Linked DNA regions of Coturnix japonica. The protein of the gene in region 2 interacts with the protein of the main gene of each other region in a pairwise test. Links are inferred from orthologs where the notes say so. Each region holds a gene or a part of one and is shown on either strand. Other genes may lie near its edges.

The links.
Region 1: the proteins of TCEANC (region 2) and Sjoegren syndrome nuclear autoantigen 1 homolog interact in binary tests that used the Homo sapiens proteins (3 or more experiments, as listed by UniProt). The two-hybrid records come from large-scale screens. The link is inferred for Coturnix japonica from reciprocal best matches to the Homo sapiens genes TCEANC and SSNA1.
Region 3: the proteins of TCEANC (region 2) and OBI1 interact in binary tests that used the Homo sapiens proteins (3 or more experiments, as listed by UniProt). The two-hybrid records come from large-scale screens. The link is inferred for Coturnix japonica from reciprocal best matches to the Homo sapiens genes TCEANC and OBI1.
Region 4: the proteins of TCEANC (region 2) and CSRNP1 interact in binary tests that used the Homo sapiens proteins (3 or more experiments, as listed by UniProt). The two-hybrid records come from large-scale screens. The link is inferred for Coturnix japonica from reciprocal best matches to the Homo sapiens genes TCEANC and CSRNP1.

The regions. Positions count from the first base shown.
Region 1 is NC_029517.1:13,930,494-13,934,669, reverse strand, and holds the start of Sjoegren syndrome nuclear autoantigen 1 homolog, read right to left. Parts: upstream 2,815-4,176; 5' UTR 2,809-2,814; coding exon of another isoform or gene 2,768-2,808; 5' UTR 2,766-2,767; coding exon 2,749-2,765; exon of another isoform or gene 2,653-2,748; intron 2,204-2,652; coding exon of another isoform or gene 2,187-2,203; exon of another isoform or gene 2,044-2,186; intron 2,022-2,043; exon of another isoform or gene 1,877-2,021; intron 1,845-1,876; exon of another isoform or gene 1,755-1,844; intron 1,430-1,754; coding exon 1,030-1,429; 3' UTR 987-1,029; exon of another isoform or gene 816-986; intron 1-815. Other genes in the region: WAC (WW domain-containing adapter protein with coiled-coil), read left to right, coding at 2,768-2,808, 2,931-2,967. UniProt on the Homo sapiens protein: Microtubule-binding protein which stabilizes dynamic microtubules by slowing growth and shrinkage at both plus and minus ends and serves as a sensor of microtubule damage, protecting microtubules from the microtubule-severing enzyme SPAST.
Region 2 is NC_029516.1:110,838,936-110,843,148, reverse strand, and holds the start of TCEANC (transcription elongation factor A N-terminal and central domain-containing protein), read left to right. Parts: upstream 1-1,408; 5' UTR 1,409-1,427; exon of another isoform or gene 1,428-1,522; intron 1,523-1,539; exon of another isoform or gene 1,540-1,662; intron 1,663-2,182; exon of another isoform or gene 2,183-3,155; intron 3,156-4,213.
Region 3 is NC_029516.1:137,629,597-137,633,158, reverse strand, and holds part of OBI1 (ORC ubiquitin ligase 1), read right to left. Parts: intron 341-3,562; coding exon 205-340; intron 1-204. UniProt on the Homo sapiens protein: E3 ubiquitin ligase essential for DNA replication origin activation during S phase.
Region 4 is NC_029517.1:4,630,993-4,634,554, forward strand, and holds part of CSRNP1 (cysteine/serine-rich nuclear protein 1), read left to right. Parts: coding exon 1-193; intron 194-857; coding exon 858-1,154; intron 1,155-2,129; coding exon 2,130-3,113; 3' UTR 3,114-3,562. UniProt on the Homo sapiens protein: Binds to the consensus sequence 5'-AGAGTG-3' and has transcriptional activator activity. May have a tumor-suppressor function. May play a role in apoptosis.

The DNA.
Region 1 (4,176 bases), on a different chromosome or scaffold from region 2:
TCTTACATCCTCTCCATTCTCCTACTTGGGTTCTATTTAAATCTCACCTACAAGAATGTCGAGCAGCTGCATGTTTACTACTAATTCAATTCTGACCTCTCACATGCATTTATTTCCCTCCATTCTAGGTTGTTCACTATTCTTTCCAGCCTTATTGCAATATTAGATGGCCCTCATTTATATTGTACAGCTCCCTGCAGCACTGTGCCCTGCAAGGTCATGCCTCCCACTTGCACTCAAATCCATCTCTCACCATAGCATAACTCCTTTCTACTCAAGGCTTTAGAGTACAGCTTCAGAAGATACACAAACCTGACACAGTCTGTGAGGTTAATCTTTCATACCCTGCTTAAATCACATTTTCTCAAATTATTCCTCCAAAATTCCAGCTAAGTGAAAGATGATTGTCAACAGGGGCTGCACGTGGATCACGGAGAGAAGTCCAGACTCCTTAAGAAGGCTAAAAAACTAATTCCTACTTGGTCCCTAAAAGTCAAGCAACAAGTATAAGCTACTTGCATCCATTAGTTCTACAGTGCTTTTCTGTCTACACATGTAGGTAAGGGGAAAAAAAGGATATGGGAGAAAGACAGCAGGATTTCAGAGAAGCCATGAACACAGCTTTGGGTAAAAGAGCAATGGAAAAAATGCGAGCATTCTGTCCAGATTTCAAGTAACATTCTATCAAACAGCCATTCCACAGTAACCAGCCAAAATCCAGCCAATAAAACATTTTTCCTGTCTTTCAGAAGAGCCTTGAAGCATAACTATGTCCAAACTGACAGCTACATATCTGCAGTTTAGTTTTGCTGTGATTTAAGAGCAATTATGAACTTTCTTTAATAAGAAAACGGCAACTTTATTTCATCTGTTTTATCTACAGTGTTTCTAACGCATTTAAAAATTATGGGAAAGTGGAAAGGTTGGAAGAAAGGCCCCTCAGCTCATAGTGCTGTCACAGGGTGCTGTGTCTGACCGCTTCTCACCTAGTGGAATTTTAGAACTGGGAAGTGCAGACATTTAACAGCTTCAGGTTACATTACTTTTCAGTTCTGGCGGACGCTTTAAGCTTCCCACTTCCTTCTTCAGGACACTAAGCAAAGTTCTGGAACTATCCAAAATCTTCATGTAAGCAGCTTCAGTTTCAGCAAGAATTTTATCGAGCTCGTTCCGCGAAGCTACCTTCTGAGCCAGGTTTTCACACACCCCCTCCAACTGTTCATTGAGGGTTTGAATTTCATGCTGGAGTCTGCTTTTCTCCTCTTCTGCTTGCTGGATCTGTTTGTTCAGCTCCTCTTTTTGCATACACAAGTCTTCAATACACTTAACGAGCTCATTGTTGTAACCCTGAAGAACAGCTCCCTGCTGGGTCATCCTCTGCTCCTGTCTGTCCGTGAGCTTCCTGAGGTGTCCTCTCAGCTGCAGCCTTCTGCACGTTAACACAAAAACAAGAACAGAGAGAAAAACTATAGTTATAGTGTGATGCTATGTTTAAACACAGCATTGTGGGGAAAGATGTACTGCTACAGGCCAGTTCTGAGGGGGGCTTGTCACTTCCCTTTTCATTAAGGAGGCAGGACAAGATTCAGGCTCTGTATCATTGCATGGTTTGGGGCCCTTCAAGGCTATCAGTCCCAACACCATGCCGTGGGCAGAGCACCCACCCAGCAGCTCATGCTGCCCGTGGGCCCATCCAACCCAGCAGGGCTGGATCACTCCCAGCTCCTCAGGGCAGCGCTGCCCGTCCCGCTCACCCGCTCCCTCCACGCGTGAGGCGGCCCGAGCTCCGCCATCGCCTCAGGGGGAGCTGAGAGGGAAGGAGGGACGCGGCCCGGCCAGCCGCTTCCCCAGGGACATTTTAACAACCACTCCCTACCGAGCGCCTCTCGCCGAACCCAACGTACACAAAATGGCTCCTGCCTATACATCAAGGCGCCGGGCGGAAGGGGAGGGGGGAGGTGAGTGAGGGGAGACCTTCCCTTTCCTATCCCCCCCGCACCACCTCGGCTCCTTTCGCGGTCCCCCCCCATCGCCCCCACCTGCCTGCCGCTGCCGCCCCCGCTCGCTCCCCTCGGCCAATCGGCCGCGCCCCGCCAACGGCCGCGCAGGTCACGGAAATAGCCGAACGGTTCCGAAGGCGGCGTCACCCCGACGAGAGCGTGAAAGCCTCTCTACGGAAATAACCGATGTTTTCCGAAGACAGGTAGCGTTCGGGAGTGGAGGACGAGGCGGGCCGGCCGGAGGGGGGGGGAGAGCTACGGAACGAGCCGATGTTTGCCGAAGGGAGAGACTGAAGGGCGTTGGGCTCGGCGGAGACTGCCGATGTTTGCCGAAGGCAGAGTCGCCCGAGAGCAAAGGGGACAGAGGGGACGGAGCGCGTCGGAAAGAGCCGAAAAGAGCCGACGTTAACCGAGCGCGGCGTCGCCCGAGTTTCCCGGATGTAGTTGGAGGAGCGGCGACGGCGGCGGCGGGCGCAGCGGGGGGAGGAGGCGGCAGCGGCGGCAGCGACGGAGTCCGCGCTCCCGGAGCGCCTCAGCGGGGCCGAGCTGCCGGCGTCTCCCCTCAGGCTGCGCGCGGCGGAGATGGGCCCGTGAGCGCCGCTCCCAGCACAGCTGCCGAGCCGCCCCCTCCCTCCCTGCCCCCTCCCTGCCCCCGGTCGGCGGCGAGGCGGAGCGCCGCTCCCCTCCTCCCCCCTCGGCGCCCGTAGGCCCGGCCGCGGCCGTCCCTTCCTGGTCCCCTCACACTCACACACACAGGCCGGGCATTGATGGTAATGTATGCGAGGAAACAGCAGAGACTCAGTGATGGGTAAATCCCCTCCTCGGCCCCGCGGCTCTCCCCCCGCCTCCGCCATGTTTGGGCCCCTTCCCGGCGCCCGGTAACGGCCCTCACTAACGCCTCTCTCTCTCTTTCTCTCGCCTTCTCCGCAGCTGTCACGACCGCAGGGGGGACTCGCAGCCCTACCAGGTACCGCCGCGCCGGCCGCCGGGCCCGGGAGGAGGAGGAGCAGGGCAGGGAAGGTGGGGGGGGAGCTACTCCAGCCCAGGCTTCGGCCGCCGCCGCAGGCCGCGCTGCCCCGCGCGGCTCCCGCCCGGCCCGCGGTGCCTTGTAAGGCCCGAGAGGTGGGGAAGGGAACAGGCTCCGGCCCGCAGCCGGGGGAACGGAGCCGCCGCGCCGCTGCGATGGCCGGGCCGGTAGGAGAGGCCTAGCGCGGGGCCGGGGCCTAGCAGACGGGAGGTGCGAGCACAGGGGCGGGAGAGCGCGGCCGGGTCACGGGCGGAGGAGCCGAGAGCCGGGGGAAGGGGAACGTTGTCCTCCTAAAAACAAAAGGCGGCTTGTTCGCCCCCCGCCCCCCTCCCCGAGGCCCTTCTCCCCAAAACTGCTGCTGCGGGCTGTAACCTGAGCAGGGCATGATTTTAGACCCTGAACTGGGGTTGTCAGTAGGGCTTCGTCTCCACAGTTGCCAGTCTCTACAGTTGCCAGCTGCTGGGGGTGTTCAAAAACATCAGATCCTCTGGCTTTTGACAGTAACTTCAATTTAAGTATGATGAGTCCCGTAGTCTAATGCCTATGAGAAATACGAAAGAATAAAAATAAGAAAAATAAAATTATACCTTAAGGAGGGTGTGAGTCTGGGGAACGCTGTGTGTAGGGATACTGCTCTTCTTAGGGCATTTAACTAAACCATTTTATTACATTTCTGAGTGTTTCTATCACTGTGAAGTGTCATCTGATGGTCCGAGGCAGCTGTCAGTGACAGTTCATGTAATATAAAACACTTGCCACTCATGAGCTCGCTCTGCAAAATCAAGCAGATCAAAAAGAGACATAACTTGTTAGTTTTGGTAAATGTTCCAAAATGAATTGTCACATTATGTTCTGCCCTCTTAAATACCCCCCCAAATTCTAGATTTTTATTGTATCTGTTATGGGCTTGCTAGTACTGAAGTCTATCTGCAGAAGCTTAACGTTGATGCAAAAGGAAGTGGCCTCCATTACAGTATGGATATTTACAGTTCACTCTGTTTCAATATAACTGTCTCTTTATTTCTTTAGTACCAGCTGCACTTGTGCTTGTTTTGAGTGTCAGAGGTTTTGTGCCCCACTTACCGTTTAAAGTATGCAGTCCTTCACTGAGAAAATAGGAAGAAATTAGGCTTATCTTAACAGCAAATG
Region 2 (4,213 bases):
CTTCAGAACTGTTAGAAGAAAGATTTCTATTTCATTAAAAGGAAACACATTGTTCTGTGATTCTATTATTGCACTGTTCTCAGGAACTGCAAACTCTTTCATAAATGTACATCTAAGTTAATAAACAAAGTAATCATTGTGGCAATCTTGCAAGTTTCTTGTCTGATGGCACAGATTAACTGTTCACCAATTGTCTAACCAACATTTTCCCAAATATTTCTGTGGATATTTAACAATTTATCAGCTGGCAGAGTATCTTATCTTGTTTAATAGAAGTCTATTCTTTTTAGAGAAGTAGATACTTAGCACAGCCAACATTGAAATCTCAAGGAAAGCAAGCTGTTACTGTAGCACTGATTTTATCCTGGAAAACCCTGCAAAAACACAAAGATATGTATATATACCATTACACAAGTATATGAATATAACAAGTATATCATGTTTATCCCTTGGTTTACTTAGGAGTAACTGAAAAAGCATTATTGCAGAATCATAGAATTGTAGGGGCTAGAAGAGACCTCTAGAACTTTTCTAGTCCAACCCCCCTGCCAAAGCAGGCTCCATAGATCAGGCTGCACAGGTAAGAGTCCAGGTGGGTCTTGAACATCTCCAGAGGAGAATCCACAACCTGTCTGAGCAGCCTGGTTCAGTGCTCTGTCACCCTTACTGTGAAGTTCTTACACACATTTGTACGTAACTTCCTATGTTTCAGTTTGTGACCATTTCCCCTTGTCCTATCACCACACATTGCTGATAAGAGTCTGGCCTCATCCCTTTGCCTCCCGCACCTTAGGTATTTATAGACATTGATCAGATCCCCTCTCAGTCTATTCTCAAGGCTGAACAGACCCAGGTCACTCAGCCTTTCCTCATAAGAGAGATGCTCCAGCCCCTATATTTTCTGGAACAGTGATTAATTAGACCAAACATAGTTTAATGGAGAAGGCTGTGAGTAAGGAACCTCCCTCAAATAGTGGCATCCTTTGTTCTGATCTCTGTTCCTGGGAAGACTCCTCACACAGGGCTAATCATGCTCCTTGTGTCTTCCCTGCTAAAGGAAGACTGCGCCAGTTCTGAAAAGCCATGCTGTCTTCTTCCAGTTTTTCAGCTCCTCTTCTGTACAACTTCAGACTTGTCCCACACTTTGTTGCTGCACAAAAACAAGGCAAAAAAGGAAGCCTGACTTCAACTGCGTAACCAGTTGTGTATAATACACGGAACGAGGTTGACCACTGTAAAAGCATTACGTCACTCACGTATTTACCAAAAGGGCTGTTTCTGCCTGGGAATCGTCCTTGGTAAGAGGCAGGAGCCTTTCTTGTCAGTAGAGGGCAGCATAGGCCTCATCAGTGAATAAAACCAAGCTCATTTACGTAAAAATCATACGGATTTTCACCGTAATTGCGAATAAACCCTATCATACGCCCGTAAGTTTGCCAGAAATACACATCTTTCCCAGAATCACTGTGAATACTCTGCGTACAATGCATGCGAAAGAATAAAAGGCCGTGGCATTGCTCCCCCCGGGTCCCGCCGGCACCAGGCCGCGCTGCCCCCCCCCCCTACCCGGCCCGCTCGCAGACATGGCGGAGCGCAGCGCGGCCTGGGAGGTGGGGAGGGTTGCGCCGCATTGAGGCCCAGCGCGGAGGTAACGGGGTACGGGTCCGTATTGCTGCATATTCCCCAGCGACACAGCTTTCTCTTAACCGATATTGCTCGAGGGTGAGGCCGAGGGAGGCGGTGGGGCCTGGCGCAGTGTCCGAGCACCGCGGGATGGGTGCTGGGCGGGCCCGGTTGGGGGAAGAAGAGGCGTCAGTCAGTGTGTGACAGGTGACAGGAAGAGGGGAAATGGACTTGGATGCATTTTTACTCTGTCTTGGTTTATCAGTGGAAGTTTTCTGCACTAAGGAAAAGTGGACTATGGTTTTGAATCTGTGAAGGTGTATGGCTGGAGCAAGGCACTTACCCCAAATGATTTTGGAGAGGGCAGGTTTTTTTCCCCAAGGGTTAGCTTCTTAGTTTTAAAAATGAGACAGTGGAGATTTGGGTTAGATCTGAGGAGGAAGTTTTTCACACAGAGGGTGGTGATGCACTGGAACAGGTTTCCCAAGGCGGTTGTGGATGCCCCATCCCTGGAGGCATTCAAGGCCAGGCTGGATGTGGCTCTGGGCAGCCTGGTCTGGTGGTTGATGACCCTTCACATAGCAGGGGGGTTGAAACTACATGACCATTGTGGTCCTTTTCAACCCAGGCCATTCTATCATTCTATGATTAGTTAGCAGAAAATCTCTCACACTGGTTTGTTTGTTTGTTTTTCCCCCATGCAGTGATTTTCATTTTTAAAACCTTTGGATTCAGTACAATGTTTTGGGATGACTGTATTTCAAACCTGAGGTAGTCTGTTTTATTTATTTTTTTGTTTGTTTGTTTGTTTTCTCCTTAAAAGCAAACTGACTTACTAGATTTTTATTGATCACCATTGCTAATTCTTGTACATGCAGTGACTCATTATGCCATGTGGTCAAGTGTGAGAGATGGTAATGATTTGGCAAGAAAGTACCTCAGCAGCACAGTATTACAGAGCCTAATTGAAAATGCAAACCAGTTTCTATCTTCACTTAGAATTCAGATGGATGTTCCCATACTTTGCTGAAATTAAGCAGAATGGAAATGCCTTGTGTTACTTCTTGGAACAAGGAAGACAGCAGAAAACTGCTGACTGTTTGTTCAGCAGCATTTGCCAAATAGCATTAAATCAAGTGGGGTAGTGGTAAAATTCCAAATGTTTTAAATGTCGGATGAAAAAACAGTGTATGGCACAAAGACTGGATGAGGGATTAAAACCTTCCCTCCAGTCTGTGACCAGGCACCTTTGGGCCTACAGGGTGTTTTGTTGTTGTTGTTGTTGTTTGTTTGTTTGTTTTTTGAGGGTTTATTTTGCCAAATATTATGCAAATAGGTATCTTAAAAATGTAAAATTTCCTAAAGGCCATAGGGAAATCGTTTTATCCCCAAGGCTGGGCTTTCTCATTGTGCACTATTACACAAGGCTGCATGGGTTTGCTGTACTACAGCCCCCTCAAGTGGTAAAACATTTTCCCATTTAAAACTGCAGCCAACTCCACCACCTCACTGTTGTGCCATGCTCCAGAGAGGTGAGTAAGTTTCATTGTGTAAGCTTCATAACTAATAATGGATATTTGTAGACTACCAGCAGTTGTTTTAGACTTCTGTTTTCCTATTTGCTGAATAACTTGCTTCAATCAGTGCTTTTGCATATCTGACAGCAGAAAAAACAACAACCCCTTGGCGGCATGCAGGGTGTCTGACTGTTCCCTAGATTAGAACAAGCTTACAGAATTCCATCTACAAAACAACCAAAGAAAGTATTCATGTACCTGGGAGAAGAACATAGGCTGTAGATTTTTGGTTTTGCCATTATGCTGCAAAACATCAAAGCCCTGTTACACAGCAGAAACATCAGTGTTCAACGAATGTGTGAGTAAGAAAGAAAGAAAGGCTTACTCTGCTTAGGTTCAATGTGAACTTTGGCTAGAAAATACCCTCCAGTGTTGCCACTGCATCAGTAATTCTTTGTTTCTCCCTCTAAGAACATGGAAAACATGCAGTAGACTCAGAGTATTTACTTGTATCTGGATTCTAGAAATGTTCCTTGACATACTGACTTAATATGAAATGCTCTGCAGGATTCCCTGTGTTAAACACTCTGCCTCAACCTTTGAAGGAAGCCAGAAGTTTTAAAATGTACTGGGTTTGTGCTTGTTCTCAACATCAGCCTTGGTGATTAAAATCCAATTGCCACTTGTCTTACAGAGCAGCAGTGCAAAAACAGCATTTTTAGTTTCTCATCACACTGCCTTTTAATATGGAAGCTGAGATGAAATCTGTGATTGTCTAGGTAGTGGAATACTTTATGGTTATGGGTATGTATCACTTTTCAGCTTGAAGTATTTTAAGGTCTTTTGAAAACTGGGTACACACAGCAAAGCAGTGCCGTGCTGTGTGTACAATGCTTTCTCTTCAGAAACCCTTCTTCTCATTTGTCATTGATGAAGGCATACTTATTACTTTTACTTGGTTGTTTCCCTGCTGGTTGTTTCTTGTGTTTCTACTTGCAGATAATGAATATCCCACTCCGCTGAAGATGTTAATTACAGATTTCAATTCTGGTCTTGTCATGTGTTTTGATGAC
Region 3 (3,562 bases), about 27 Mb from region 2:
TGCAATGGTGGGGTGCTTTCTGCCTTACAATAATCAATTTGTTATTATACACGGTCTTTGCAATATTTATCTTATAGTTACTATGCATACTTCCAGCTAGATCATGCTTTGATGGAAAAAACACTCAGATATCTTTGGAAACAAAAGAATCTTCTCCAGCAGTAAACACTAAAAAGTTATTTCAAAGCCTCAAATTGTCCTTACCTATAATTTCCTTGCAAGGATTTTCAGGTGTGATGGGAATCCTGCAAGCTGGACACTGATTATTGTTCTTCAACCAGACTTCAATACAAATGGAACAGAAGACATGGTTGTTGACACAGATTACTGGGTGCCGGACCTTTGAGCATCAACAAGGAGGAAAAGACGGGGAAAAGAAAAACAAACAAAAAACAAACAAAAAAAAGAACAGAAAGATGCTATGAATACTTAGAAACACTTTCAGATAATAGAATACAAATATATACTACCCCAATCTCTCAAAGCAAGTCTAGACTTCAGGAGGAAAGTGACACTGCTGTTCCTGACTAGGAGTGGTCTCCTGACTTACAGCACCAAATTTCCCTATTATTGGAGGTAGTACAGCTACAACTATCTTTGCAAAACTAGAGATCCTCAGTTCTGTGTGCTCATTGATATACAGTGTGAAAGCCATCTTGAAGAAGAGCAGCCAACCACATCAATGAAATGAATTCACATTCCTACACAGGGGAAGACTAAAACACGTACATTCACTCATTTCCAAAAGAAAGGGAATGAGAGAGAGCTCCTAGCAACAATCAAGACTTGGTCTTGAGAGCTATCACTGAAATGATCAACATCATAAATCATCTCTTGTGTCATTAGTGATAGGACCAGAAGGAATGGTTTCAAGCTATGGAAGGGGAGATTCAGGCTGGACATTAGGAGGTATTACTTCTCAGAAAGGGTGGTCAGGCACTGGAATGGACTGCCCAGGGAGATGGTGGAGTCACCAACCCTGGGGGTGTTCAAGGAAAGACTGGATATTGTGTTGAGGGACATGGTTTAGTGGGAGCTATTAGTAATAGGTGAACGGTTGGACTGGATGATCTTTTAGGTCTTTTCCAACCTTGGTGATTCTACGATTCTATCTCTAGCCTGCATATAACCTGCTTTATGGAAATAAACTTTTAAAAACAATATTGGGCAAAAATATAGACCAGAAATATGAACCAATAATCATTCATGAAGCCTTCTGCAAGATATGTATTGCTACCAGTCATTAGAACAGAATGGGACAGCTTAAATATCAGACATAGTTCCTTTCAAGAAACATCCCCCCTCCCCACCAAAACAACAGAGTAAACAAACTTTTGCATTATTCTTCCATGTTATCTGGGGCCAGATGGAATTCACCTGAGGTGCTGAGGGAGGTGGCAGAGGTAATTGCTAAGCTACTTTCCACTCTCAGTGGTTCTGGTCAAGAAGGGAAGTCTCAGATGACTGGAGACTCATGAATGTGATGCCTATCACTAAGATTTGTAAGGAGAATCTGTGGAACTATAGGCCTATCAGCCAGACCTAGGCATCAAGGAAAGTTACGAAACAGACCATCTTGAATGCAATCACACAGCCGGTCATGGTCAACCAGAAGGAGATCAGGCTCAGCCAGCATGAGTTTACAAACGGTAGTTTCTGGTTTACCAATCTCACCTACTTTTATGACCAGGTGACCTACCAGGTGGATGAGGGAAAGGCTGTTGATGTGGTCTACCTAGACTCCATTAAAGCCTTCAACACTGTCTTCCATGGTATTCCCCTGGAGAAGCCGGCAGCCCACGGCTTGGACAGGTACATTCTCTGTTGGGTAAAAAAATCTGCCTGGATGTCTAGGCCAAGAGAACGGCAGCAAATGGAGTTAAATCCAACTACTGACCATTCACGAGTGGTGTTCCCCAGGGGTTGATATTAAGGCCTATCCTGTTTAATACCTTTATTGATGATTTGGATGCAGAAAATTGAGTGCACTACAAATGACAACAAGCTCATGGAATGTGTTCATCTGTCTGAGGGTAGGAAAGCCCACGGAGGGACTCAGATAGGCTAGATTGATGAGCTGAGGCCAATGGGATGAATTCAACAGTATTAAGTGTCAGGTCCTGAACTACAAGCTTGGGGTGGTGTGGCTGAAAAGCTGTATAGTGGAAAAGAATCTGAGGATGTTGGTTGAAGCTCATCTGAACATGAGCCATCAGTGTGCTCAGGTGGTCAAGAAAGCCAACAGCATCCTGGTCTGTATCAGAAACGGTGCAACCAGCAGGAGCATGGAGATGACTGTCCCCTGTACTCAGCTCTGGTAAGGTTGTGCCTCGTACTGTGTTCAGTTTGGGGACCCTCACTACAAGGAAGATATCAAGACCCTGGTCCATAAAAGGGCAACAAAGCTGGGTCTGGAGAACAAGTCTTATGAGATGCAGCTGGGGAGAGGAACTGGGATTGTTTAGACTGGAGGAGACTCGTGGAACACTTTATTGCTCTCTACAGCTACCTGAAAGGAGAGTGTGGAGAGGTGGGCATCGGCCTCTTCTCCCATGTAACTAGTGATAGGATGAGAGGGCACGGCCTCAAGCTACACCAGGGAAGTTTCAGATTAGATATTAAAAATAATTTATACTCCAAAAGCATTTAGTTAAAGCATTGGAACAGGTTGCCCAGGGAAGTGTTGGAATAACCATCACTGGAGATGCTTAAGAAAACAGTACATGTAGAACTCAGAGACATGGTTTAGTAGGCAGTATCGGTGGTAGGTAGACAGCTGGACTGAATCTTAGAGGTCTTTTCCAACCTTAATGATTCTATGATTAACTATAAATCCAGTTTGAAAATAAGTATGGGACAGAGAGACTAACTACAATATAGAAGAAAATGACTTTTCCTTATACCCATACCTCACAGAGGCATGTGTTACAACTTACAGTAATATAAACTCTCAAATCTTACAATACTTGACATTCATGTCTATATTAAGGTTCTATAAAAGAAATATTTGCTATTCCTTCATCACTATATTTGCCCAGTAAACATCTTCTGATACTCAGAGGTAGCAGCACCTACTACTCATATACAACGGATGTGAATTAAGAGCCATGTCTGCCAGCTCCTTCTCCAATTTGCTTTCTGTGCCTCTAACACACTATAGGATTATTGGTAGTTTGAAAACTTCTGATAAGACCACCTAGGAACCTCAGGACTGTCTATACACAAGCAGAAAGTCAAGTTACTGAAGGTGTGAATAGAAAGACTAAATGATTTCTGCAAGCATCTGTACATTTTCACCTCTAATTAAGGAGGCTTTTTTATGTGATTAATGCAAGCATTAGCATAGCAATGCTTTGTAAACATCTGAATATTTCAATAATATAGATACATAAAAATACACCCTTGTTATTTACTGCTTTCTTTACCAGAAAAAAAGCTTTCTGCAGTTTTCCACCAGCAGCTGAAAGAAAAAAAATATGTATTTATTCTGGTAGCTCTTCTTTTTCATCCAGAAGCAGCCATTATATGAGCATTGTTACACGAATGGCTCTGATATGCAGAA
Region 4 (3,562 bases), on a different chromosome or scaffold from region 2:
GTTCTACTTCCCACGCTGCCAGGGCTTCACGAGCGTGCCGAGCCGTGGGGGCTGCACGCTGGGGATGGTGAGCAAACACAGCTCATCCCGACAGTTCACATTAGCAGAGTTTTCCAAGGAGCAAGAAAACGTTCGTCGGGAGAAACTGGAAGAGAAATTGAAAGAGGAGAAGTTGGAAGCTTTGAAATGGAAAGTAAGTGGCTGGATTGGGGGTGTCTTTTCTTATGAAGGTCTTTTCTTTGTGTTGGTCTTTCCAAGTCCTTGGGGCATTGATTCAGAACCTTCTGTGGGTCTCTGAGAAACATTGGTCAGTTCTCTGCCTTGAAAGAAGTGATGCTCAGCTCCCCTAGCAGGTGTTCACCAGGTGTTAATGTGGGACCTGAGTGAGATGCTGTGCACCCCATGGTCTATGGGCTCTCAGGGTTCTTTCTGGAGGCTCTGAGACAGATATTGGTTATGGAGGTGGCCACCACTGGGGCAAGTCAGGAATTGTCTGGACAGTGCTCTCAGAAGTATGGTCTGATGTTTGGGTGGTCCTCTGTGGAGCCAGGAGTTGGACTTGATGATCCTTATGGGTCCCTTCCAACTTGGATTATTCTATGATTCATTTATTGGAACAGGCTGCCCAGGGAGGTGGTGGAGTCACCATCCCTGAAGTTGTTCAGGAAACATGGAGATATGGCACTGAGGGACGTGGTTGGTGGGCATGGTGGGGATGAGTTGGGGTTGGACTAGATGACCTTAGTGGTCTTTTCCAATCTGTATGATTCTGTGATTTGTCCTGACTTGAGGTGTTGACGGTCACAGCTTGGTGTCCCTGACAGCTTTGTAACACCTTGCCTATCTTTTGCCCTCAGCTCACCATGAATGGCACAAAGGAATCAGAGGAAGCCAACCAGCTCACTATTGAAGACATCTCCGACGATGACATCGACATCAGCAACGTGGACCTGGAGGATGGCTTCTTCCTCCAGCCCTACCCAGCCAAGAAGAGGCGTGCGCTGCTCAAAGCTGTTGGGGTGAAGAAGATTGACAAGGAGGAGAAGCGGGAGCTGCACAGCATCCGCCTGTCCCGGGAGGACTGTGGCTGTGACTGTCAGGAGGTCTGCGATCCCGAGACCTGCAGCTGCAGCTTGGCAGGCATTAAGTGCCAGGTACTGCCCTGTCTCATGCATCTCCTCAAGGTGAAGTGGGAAAAGCTCTTGGAGATGCTGCTGGAAAGCATCCTCCTCCCAAATCGCTCATCCCATGGGGACGTGCAGGTGCACCCACAGGGTGAATGGCAGAAGGAGACGGACTGTGTGGGATGTCTTGGCAAAGAGAAGCTCTTTGCTCCTCCCACAAGGCTCCAATTTCTCCTCCTCCCTTGGTTTTATTTTTATTCTCCCTCTTGGTGTGTATCCCAACTCCCAGCACACGTGGGAGCATCAGTGTCAGCTCTCCAGGCCCACCTGCATATCACAGGGTAACCTCTGTAGCTGCACTTAGTTACCTTTATTCACTTCTTTTTTTACTTTATGTTTTCTGAGGTGGCTGCCCTGCTGTGTTTGGGGGGAGCATTCACTACTGAGGGAGCTGCTCACTTGCTCTGTGCTGTGGTTGCAGGCTGGGTGGTGTAGGGGGTGTGTGTGTGTGTGCAGTTGGATGTTCACAAGCAGATGGATGTGCTCAGGAGGACTCATGCTCCATGTGCATGTCACAGCCCCCCTCTAGTGGCTGCTCACAGCTGGGACGTAAAAGTGCCGCAGATACCAGTGGAGCAGTTTGTCCTTTATCCCGCAGAGAGGCAGAAGCTTGTGATATAGATCAGATATTAAATATCATGGTGCAATACACAAAAATTCACATTTGCCTACTTTTGGCGTATTACATTTTGCTTTTTTTGTGGTTGTTTTTTTTTTTTTTTTTTTTAACCCTTTGACTTTATTCAGTTGTACTGAAATTCACCTTTTTTAAGACAACTCTTCCAAAAAGCAGGTTGTGAGGGGTTTTTTGGTAACTTGTATTTTTTGGCTTGCTTTTAAACCCCTCACCCAATGCTGCAAGGTGATGTGTGAGCTTCTGGGGGTGAATTGAGGTGGTTTGGGCTTCGGGTGAGGGTCCTTACCCCTGTGTCCTTTTCCCCCTAGATGGACCACACTTCCTTCCCCTGTGGCTGTACCAAGGACGGCTGCGGCAACACGGAAGGCAGGATTGAGTTCAACCAGGCCCGGGTGCAGACCCACTTCATCCACACCATCATGAAGCTGGAACTGGAGAAGCAGCACCAGAGCAGTGAAGGGGTGGCAGAGGTTGAACCTCCCTTCCGGGAGCGGTTGCCTCAGCTGGGCTGCGCAGCGGCAAAGGGGCCCTTGGAGGAACGCACGGCACCGCTGGCCCCCACCTTCCAGTTCAGCCCTGAGTTGGAAGCCCTGGGGGAGAACAGCTGTAGCAGTGACATGACGGACTCCTCTATCTCCTCCCACCCCAGCGAGGACCTGGAGGAACCCTACGAGAGCCTCCCCTCTGACAAGTCCCAGTCGGACGTTGATGATGATGGCTTGGCACGCATCCTCCACTTCAACGATTCAGATGCCGAGGAGGAGGGAGACCACTGCCAGGACAACCTGAGCTGTTTCCACCCCGCCGACTTCTTTATTGAGGACCATGGCTGTGAGGCCAAGCCTGGCCCTGGGGCCTCATCCCACCTCTCTGAGTGCCTGGACGAGAATGCCAACCAGGACAGTGGTGGGCTGCTGGAGGAGGCCATGCACTCGCGCTGTGATGGGGTGTCATGCTGCGCCCCAGCCCTGGCTGAGTCGTGTTCCAAGAGCTATGCCGACCTCAGCCTTTCCTCTGACTCCTTGGATTTCTTCCAGTCTTTCTCAGACTATAACTTGGGACCCCTTTACAACTCCTTGAAGGAGTACGAGAACCTTGATAACTTCTCAGCGTTACAGTTTCAGTTGCCTAATTTCCCCGGTTTCCCGCAAGCTGGAGATCAGGGCTCCTGTTTCTTGGAGTCTCTCATTGGTTTATCTGAATCCGTCCCTGAAACCCCAGCCCCTTTCACAGACAATCAGCTTTTGGAGGATGCCATCAAGTCATCGCTGATGGAAACGGTGAAGGTGTGAAGCGCCCGTCAGGCTGGGGAATGCGAAGGACTGGCAGCGTTGTGGTGCTGAAACCAAAGCCGAACAACAGTGGGACGGGCAGACTTTCACTTGTGCTATGTGAAAAGGGTAAAGGAAAAGAATTAATAATAATCAGACTTTCTGAGCAGACAAACTATTTTTGGTCTTTATAGAATGTGGACGTTTTGACATACTGCAGCTACAATCAGTTCTCTTGCTGTTTGTGCAAAGATTTCTAAACTTTCATGATGGGGTTGGGAGGGGGGTGAGGGGAGGGAGGGATGAAGACTTTCAGATATGACTTTCCTTGTGTTTTGTATGCAAAGACCTGTTGAGAAATGCTCCTTGAGAATGTTGCCAGTCGTACACAACAGCCCCTTCTAGAACCGTTTCGGTGTCGCGGGAACTTTTTAAGACAACTTTTGAAGCTGTATTTATTGTGAAAACTT